2 linked regions of the Ovis aries genome follow. The protein of the gene in region 2 purifies or fractionates together with the protein of the main gene of each other region. This does not show direct contact. Links are inferred from orthologs where the notes say so. Each region holds a gene or a part of one and is shown on either strand. Other genes may lie near its edges.

Region 1 (4,114 bases), on a different chromosome or scaffold from region 2:
CCGCCGGCCTTCCCAGAGCGGGCAGGGAGAGGACTTCTGTTCTTCCCCTTCCCGGGGGGTGTGGGAAACACGGCAGAGGGACCCCGAGAGCGCAGTAAGTGGACAGCAGCAGAGAGGCCGTGTGGCCTCAGACGAAGCTCTGTGGCCAGGGCTCTGAGAGCCCCTTAGCACAGAAGGGGATGGTGGTAACTCCGCAGTCACAGCCTCTGTGTGCAGACACGTTACCTGCTGTGAAATGCACTGGGAAAAGTCAGAGAAAGGAATGTGCCCCACTGAGGCAAGCCTGTCTGCTGACTCTTCTAAGAAGATGAAGTCCAGAGCAGCCTGAAGCCCACAGACCCATAGGCCTCCTGCTGTGCCTCAGGATGCGAGTGGGCAGGCATTAAAACAGGCCAGTGTGGTTATCTGAGCCTCTGCTGGGCGCTCTCCCCTGCTGGCCAAGCCTTGGTCTCAGTCCCTACACAACTGCAGGGGGCAAAGGAGCCTCAAGGGGGAGTCCCAGGCAGGGGGAGCCTGCGGGCTGGGGACAAGGGCACCCCCTTGGGGAGCCTGAGGACAGCGGCGGGGCACAGCTCCTGGCCTCTCCCCCTAACACGACCTTCCTTCCACCTCCAGGCCCTGCACCCGGTGGGCGCTGGCTGCCTCCGAGTCCTTCTGAAGCGGAACCCGGCCCCAGGGCCTCACCTTAGCTCTGGGTAGACATTTTCCAGGTACCATTTGAAAGGCTTGCAGTTAAGTTTCTTCCTGAGCTCCAGTCGGCTCTGAATACTGGAGAAGGAGACAAGATTCTTTAAGATAAATTTAAAAAACAGATGGGCTCTACATCAAACCTGGAAATCTGCCGATGAGAAAAAGAGCTGGGGCAGGCAGTGGGGACTGGACCATCCACACTGCTGTTTGGACTCCTCTGTCCCGCCGTGCTTCCCGAGAGGGCCCTCGCGACCCTTGAGCAGAGTCCCCTCTTTGACACCTGATCGGCTTACGGCACGCACGCACGCACGCAGGCACACACACGCAGGCACACACGCACACACACACGCGCGCACACACACGCACGCACGCACGCACGCACACACGCACGCACACACGCGCGCGCACACGCACACACACACACGCACGCACGCACACACACACACGCACACACACGCACACAGACACACACACGATCCCAAGAAGCAAAACAGCGAGAGGCCATGGGCCACACTCACTTTCCGTAAGGGACGTTTCTGGCAGAAGGCACTGCTGCGTAGTAGAAGTTCTTGTATTCGTCCATCCAGACCTCTGCTGCCCGGCGGGTGTTACTAGAAACGAAACAAGTCTCCTTGAGCCGTGAGCTGCCTTCTTTCCATCGGCGCTGCTTGGCCTGCACTGAGCAAGTGCTGCGGAGGCTTCAGGGTCAGGCTTCTGGGGGGCTGGCGGCCTGATAGGGGCCCACATGGATCAGGGAGCAGGCTGTCCCCCACCCCTAGGTGCCTCCGGGTGGCTGGTATTCAGCAGGTATCACTGAATAACAAATACAACCTCCTCATCTCTCTTTGAACACAGATTGTCAAAGAGCAAAAGTCAAAGTTAGAATGACTGCACAGGGAGGTATTTTAAAACAGGGACGTGGCTGTACCACCAAGAAGGGCTGAAGAGGATCTCTCTCAGTAGCTCTTAGTAACTCTTGTTGTGTAGCCCAGAAGGCTGGTGTCCAGGAGCAAAAGCAAGAATCCTTGACCTCCTCTCTCTGGCCTTCTCATCATGCCTGTGATGGAGAGCTATGACCAAACAGCTCTGGGAAAGTTGAGAGCAAATCACAGTTACTATTAAATTACTTCGGGCAGAGCTGAGCTGAGAGCACCCTGTTTGGACCAGAAATAGTGAGGGACAGTAGTATACGCCCCACATTTGGGGTTCCTACTCTCCTGTGCAGAACAGGCTTCTCTAGAAGGCCAGAAGACCCCACACTGACATCTCACAATCACGGAGAGAAACAACCTATGATCAATAAGGCCAGTGGGACAAGCTACCTTGGAATGTAAGATATGTACTAAAGGCCGCCACATGCCCGGCACCAGCATCTTCTGCCAGCGTTCTCCTTAGAGCATCTGCGGAGTAGCACTAAGGCAGTGAGCGTCTCTTCTCCAGTATCCCTGGACTCTGCTCCAAAGCACACTCACATTTTGGGCTGAGAGACCGTTCTCTTTCAGAACCCATATAAAGGCATTCCATGCTTCTAAGATAAACACATTAGGGAGACAATATTCATATTCTACAAGAATACGTATTGTTCCCCTATTAGAAAGGTCTTTTTAAAATGGAAAGTGAAAGAAAGGGAAAGTTGCTCAGTCATGTCTGACTCTTACGGACCCCATGGACTACACAGTCCATGGAATTCTCCAGGCAAGAATACTGGAGTGGGTAGCCTTTCCGTTCTCCAGGGGATCTTCCCAACCCAGGGATCAAACTCAGGTCTCCACATTACAGGCAGATTCTTTACCAGTTGAGCCACAAGGGAAGGCCATGAATACTGGAGTGGGTAGCCTATCCCTTCTCCAGGGGATCTTCCAGACCCAGGAATCGAACTGGGGTCTCCTGTACTGCAGATGGATTCTTTACCAACTGAGCTATAAGTGGGGAGCCTTCAAATCATCTGAGTTACAATTAATAAAATAATTTGTTTGGGGCCTATATCCTTCTTGGCACCTCTTCTATCAGATCCATACCATTTCTGTCCTTTATTGAGCCCATCTTTGCATGAAAAGTTCCCTTGGTATCTCTAATTGTCTTGAAGAGATCTCTCTAGTCTTTCCCATTCTATTGTTTTCCTCTATTTCTTCGCATTGATTGCGGAGGAAGGCTTTCTTCTCTCTCCTTGCTATTCTTTGGAACTCTGCATTCAAATGGGTATATCTTTCCTTTTCTCCTTTGCTTTTGCTTTTCTTCTTTTCACAGCTATTTGTAAGACCTCCTCAGGCAGCCATTTTGCTTTTTTGCATTTCTTTTTCTTGGGGATGTTCTTGATCCCTGTCTCCTGTACCATGTCACGAACCTCTGTCCATAGTTTATCAGGCACTCTGTGTATCAGATGCAGTCCCTTACATCTATTTGTCACTTCCACTGTATAATCATAAGGGATTTGATTTAGGTCATACCTGAATGGTCTAGTGGTTTTCCCTACTTTCTTCAATTTAAGTCTGAATTTGGCAATAAGGAGTTCATGATCTGAGTCACAGTCAGCTGCTGGTCTTGTTTTTGCTGACTGTAGAGAGCTTCTCCATCTTTGGCCGCAAAGAATAGAATCAATCTGATTTCGGTGTTGACCGTCTGGTGATGTCCATGTGTGTAGAGTCTTCTCTTGTGTTGTTGGAAGAGGCTGTTTGTTATGACCAGTGAGTTCTCTTGGCAAAACTTTATTAGTCTTTGCCCTGCTTCATTCTGCATTCCAAGGCCAAATTTACCTGTTACTCCAGGTGTTTCTTGACTTCCTACTTTTGCATTCCAGTCCCCTATAATGAAAAGGACATCTTTTTCCAGTGTTAGTTCTAGAAGGTCTTATAGGTCTTCACAGAACTGTCAACTTCAGCTCCTTCAGCATCACTGGTCGGGACATAGACTTGGATTATCGTGATATTGAATGGTTTGCCCTGGAAACGAACGTAGATCATTCTGTCGTTTTTGAGATTGCATCCAAATACTGCATTTCAGACTCTTTGTTGCCTATGATAGCTATTCCATTTCTTCTAAGGGATTCTTGCCCACAGTAGTAGATATAAGGGTCATCTGAGTTAAATTCACACATTCCAGTCCATTCCTAGAATGTTGATGTTCACTCTTGCCATCTCCTGTTTGGCAAGAATACACAGAACTGTACAAAAAAGATCTTCACAACCCAGTGAATCATGATGGTGTGATCACTCACCTAGAGCCAGACATCCTGGAATGTGAAGTGAAGTGGGCCTTAGGAAGCATCACTATGAACAAAGCTAGTGGAGCTGATGGAATTCCAGTTGACCTATTTGAAATCCTAAAAGATGATGCTGTGAAAGTGCTGCATTCAATATGTCAGCAAATTTGGAAAACTCAGTCATGGCCACAGGACTGGAAAAGGTCAGTTTTCATTCCAATCCCA
Region 2 (4,710 bases):
TCAGTCTCTGAAATTAGAGGTAATCATCTGGCGGCTCATTTGTTAATGATCTTGACAGCAAAAGAGCAGACCATTCACAGAAAGGCCCTATTGACAATTGTAAGGAAGACAGGGCCTAGTTATATCAGAACCCTTTATCCTAAACAGGAAATGACAGGTGCAGGACAGCTGTTCTAGGCTCTAGCCAGCTGAAGTCTGTGTGATTTACTCAAGAGAACTCAGCCTATTTAAAAGCAGAAACATCACTCAGCTGACAAAGATCTGTATAGTCAAAGCTATGGTTTTCCAGTAGTCATGTATGGATGTGAGAGTTGGACCATAAAGGCAGCTGAGTGCTGAAGAATCAATGCTTTTGAACTGTGGTGCTGGAGAAGACTCTTGAGAGTCCTTTGGACTCCAAGAGTGAGCCAGTCAATCCTAAGGAAAATCAACCCTGAATATTCACAGGAAGGACTGGCGCTGAAGCTGAAGCTCCAATACTTTGGCCACCTGATGCAAAAAGCCAACTCACTGGAAAAGACCTTGATGCTGGGAAAGATTGAGGGCAGGAGGAGAAGGGGGTGACAGAGGATGAAATGGCTGGATGGGATCATCAACTCAATGGACATGAGTTTGAGCAAACTCTAAGAGATTGTGAAGGATAGGGAAGCCTGACATGCTGCAGTCCTTGGGGTACAAAGAATCAGACGGGACTTGGTGACTGAACAACAACACAGTGAAAAGAACTGCCAACTCCTCCCCAGCTGAGACTCCTCCAGGCTAAGCAAGTCCCCCTCCTTTTATCTTAGTATTAAGCAATAATTACTTCTAATCTGCAAATGTACTCTTTCACCCCACACTTTATTTCATCTGAACCTGACCACTCTCATTTCATACTTAAGGTTACTCTCCATGATAAGCACTTGGATGTAGAATAAGGAATGTACCTTAAAAAAATTTTTTTTCAAGGCCACATTCATGTGGCATTGGGGATCTTAGAACCTCAATCAGAGATCAAACCTGTGGCCCCTGCAGTGAAAGCATGGAGTCTTAACCCCATAACTGTCAGGGAATTCCCAGGAATGTACCACTTTTACTAAATGTCTTCTCTCATTTCTCACAGCCCTAGGCCTTTTGACTATCATGAATTGAACCCTTCAATTTTAGTCAGACTATTACAAACTACTAAATTCTTAGGGCTCATAAGAAATGCAATCATTTGGGGAAGAATCTGAAAATGAATATATATATAAAAAACGGAATCACTGTGCTGTACACCTAACACAACATTGTAAATCAACTACACATCATGTTTTTTTATATTTCAGTTAAAAACAAAAAAAGAAATGCAATTATTTTGTCGTTGGGGAGTGGTTACTAAGCAACACAACAAACCCTGCTGAAGTAAAAGATGAGTGTATTCATGCAATTTCTGGCCTTTCTTCTAATCAGAAACTCAGCTGCAGAACATAGACCCCTGGGCGCTCTGCTGCTGGTCTTGAAGACTCTGTAACCATTCTTTCTGTTCCTGCAGATGGAAGACAAATGCTTGGGAGAGGAAGCTAGAAATTAGAAGACAGGAAGATCACTGCTTTAACTACATACAAACTGTCAGGTCCTCAGGTCCTCTCTCAGGATGTGAAAGATTCTAAGTTCCAAGATTATGGGAGGAGACCTTCATTTGGGTCAAATCATAATAATGTCCTAAGCTTCACACTTGACGCAACAGCAGAGGGCAGAGGAAACAGATGTGAAAACAAATGATTTCTAAGACAAAGGGAGGAAAAAAAAGAACCTAGAAAACCCAATAGAGAATCCTGGCAGGATCTCAGGAAAAAAAACAGGAAGTTTGTTTCTTAAATTCCCAGGGCTTACAGGCTGATGAGTGATGGATACTCACACATCAGGCTTTCTGAGAGGAGGAAATCCCACTCCTCCTCTTAAGGCCATTCTTGCCTTACCTTCCGCTTATTGTGGTAGGCGATATAGAGGGCAGCGACGAGAATGGCTGCTGTCACCAGATATGCAAAAAAGTGGCTGCTCTCTGCATTGGCATTTCCAAGGTTATCCTTATAAAGGTCATCCTTCTTACTCCAGGTATTCGAAAGTGTCCCTTCACGGTTCTCTCTGGAGGCAGGGCCAACCATTTCTTTCCCTTCTTTGGGTGGTGCGTCTTCCTCTGGCTCTGCATCCCCTTCTTCAGTCTCCTTGGGCTCCACATCTTCAGTTAATTCTAAAGGCTTACCTCCTCCCTCCCGCTGGGGAGAAGAGGGGTCTGCCAACACTTTCCCCCCAGGTTCAGTTCTGGAAGTCTGCAGAGCTTTGCCAGCGACTGTGTTTACATGAACCTTGGTGGACTCCTTGTTATCAGAAGAGGGGCTGGAGACCAACTTGTTGGACTGGTCTCTGGGGGAACTGCCAGGGTCGGCTTTCTCGGGGCGCTGCTCGGCTCCTGAATTATCGGAGTGGGTTTCCGCGGGGCGGTGCTCGGCTCCCGAATTGTCAGGGCCGCTTTCCGTCGGGCGCTGCTGCTCGGTTCCCGAATTATCGGAGTGGGTTTCCGCGGGGCGGTGCTCGGCTCCCGAACTGTCAGGGCCGCTTTCCGTCGGGCGCTGCTCAGTTCCCGAATGGTCAGGGTCGGTTTTCGCGGGGCGCTGCGTGGCTCCCGAATTGCCAGGGTCGGTTTTCGCGTCGGTCTGATTTAGAAAGGTTTGGTTACTGTGTTCTAGCCTAGACTGAGCGATCAAGACCTGCTGCCTGGAGCTTCCTGCAGAAGCCTGATCTTCCTTCTGAGCGGTTGTTCCGGCGCCTGGAGCAGAATTGAGCTGCGAGTCTGAAACAGAGAAACTATCTGGCTGAAGAGAGGCAGTCGGGGAGAAAGAACTCCTCAGAACGTTGCAACGGGCAAAAGGGAGGGGAGTGCTGGCGAGCGGAGCGGTGGCGAGGTTCGGGCAAGGAAGAGTGAGGTCAGGGGCTGACAGGCCACGGTGAAGACGACGGGCCCCGGGGCGACAGTGGGATTACCGGGGGCTGGTCTTGGGACTGCGGTGGGGTGGGGGCGGGGGGGAATTCTTACCCGCTGCCGCGACGCTCAGTAACACGAACGCAACCAGGAACCGCATCCTGCACCGACTGTGCTTCCGCCCCCTAATGCTCTCGCGAGATCAGCACGCGGGCTTAGTGTTATGTCCCGCCCCTTCCTGTGTGCGTCGCCGCAGCCACACCCAGGCAAGGGGCAGGGATTGGAAGAAGCCCGGCAAGCTGGTGTTCAGTTGTTTCCCCCGAGGTGTGACTGCTTTTGCTGGTGGCGGGGCTGTATTGCGTGTAGAAGGCGTATTTGTCTTTTCCTGCTTTCGTAGCTCCGCAGCGGCCGCTACAAACTTAGTCCCCCTTTCCTTCTTTGCTGTCATATTTACGAGACAATACTGGCGAAGCAGGCGCTCCCTGGCCCACGGACGTAACCACGGGAGTGAAGTCGTTGGGGCCTGGTGCTTGCTCGCTCCTATCCTCTGCCTGCCTTTCTGCCTTCTCCCTCCCTCATGGTTCTTTCCCTGCAGCGCACAGACGTGTGGAAATCTGGAAACAGACACCCACCCTGTCACCTTTGTAGCGGGAGCCTTCGCAACCCTGCTCGCTCTTTTGACCCCCGACGGAAACGGTGTCAAAGATCTTTTCTAAAAAGTTCATCTGTTTTCTGATCGTGTAAATTACTCATTCACGCTAGAAAATTCACTGAATGTGTACAAGTAGAAAACAGAATCTCTGCCTCACGCTTCCAGAGTAGTGACTATCAACGTTTTAGTGTATTTTTGTCTTGCAAACGATATATTTGATTAGGTAATATAATCTAACGGTTAAAAAAATGGGATTTATTTTTCGAAAAGTTCACATTAGAAAGTTACTGAAGCAATTATCTTTAAATGAAAAACCTCAAAAAGTTCTTGTGGGATTTCTCTTGTGGTTCAGTGGTTAAGAATCCACCTGCGAATGAAGAGGACATGAGTCATCCTTGGTCCCATGGGGCAACTAAGCCGGTGGGCCGCAACTACTGAAGCCAGTGACCTAGAGCCAGCGCAACAAGAGAAGTTGTGACAATGAGAAGCCCCTGTTCTCTGCAGCAAGAGGAAGCCTGAGCAGCGAATAATAGATAATAGAATGTTTTTGCTCTCTAGCCCTCCTCCACAAGTTCCTATTCAGTGATTTTTTAAAACAAATACAATTAGGATAAATATAAATATACTCCCGCCCCCTGTTTCTTAAGTAGTGTGTTTTCACCGTCTTTTATTCTATAATCATTTTCTCCCAAATTGCAATTATTGGATATATCGTTTTGTATCATGCTGTTTAAGATTTCTGTTGTGTTCATACAGGCTATGGGAAGAAAATAGTGTGTTTAGGAGTTAAACATTTAGGAGGCTGTTGCAGTAGTCCTAGAAGGACTAGCATAGGTATGGTGAGAATAGAGGGAAGTGGTTGGGCTCAATATAAATTTGGGAGGAAATACCAACAGGCCTTGGAGATAGATTGGCTATGGGAGGGAGGTGTGATGTGAGGAAGATGTGGAAAACCAGATTTAATACGATTGGGGCACTAAAAGTGAATTTATTCTTGCCTGTGAGACAGTCAAGTAGAAATAACAGAGAGGTAGCTGGAAACATGAGCATCAAACGAGTTCAAGGGCACGCTCCCCTAATTAAATATTGTCAAACATGACTGTTAATGGTTTCATAA

Evidence for each region. Proteins that work in one complex are often made in the same cells at the same time.
Region 1: the proteins of TGOLN2 (region 2) and GALNT2 purify together in Homo sapiens (affinity purification with mass spectrometry; 3 studies listed by BioGRID and IntAct, counting the BioPlex papers as one, with this or other methods). This does not show direct contact. The link is inferred for Ovis aries from reciprocal best matches to the Homo sapiens genes TGOLN2 and GALNT2.

Annotation. Positions count from the first base shown.
Region 1 is NC_056078.1:1,811,974-1,816,087, reverse strand, and holds part of GALNT2 (polypeptide N-acetylgalactosaminyltransferase 2), read right to left. Parts: intron 1,302-4,114; coding exon 1,209-1,301; intron 769-1,208; coding exon 685-768; intron 1-684. UniProt on the Homo sapiens protein: Catalyzes the initial reaction in O-linked oligosaccharide biosynthesis, the transfer of an N-acetyl-D-galactosamine residue to a serine or threonine residue on the protein receptor.
Region 2 is NC_056056.1:57,188,529-57,193,238, reverse strand, and holds the start of TGOLN2 (trans-Golgi network integral membrane protein 2), read right to left. Parts: upstream 3,132-4,710; 5' UTR 3,102-3,131; coding exon 3,056-3,101; intron 2,813-3,055; coding exon 1,941-2,812; intron 1-1,940. UniProt on the Homo sapiens protein: May be involved in regulating membrane traffic to and from trans-Golgi network.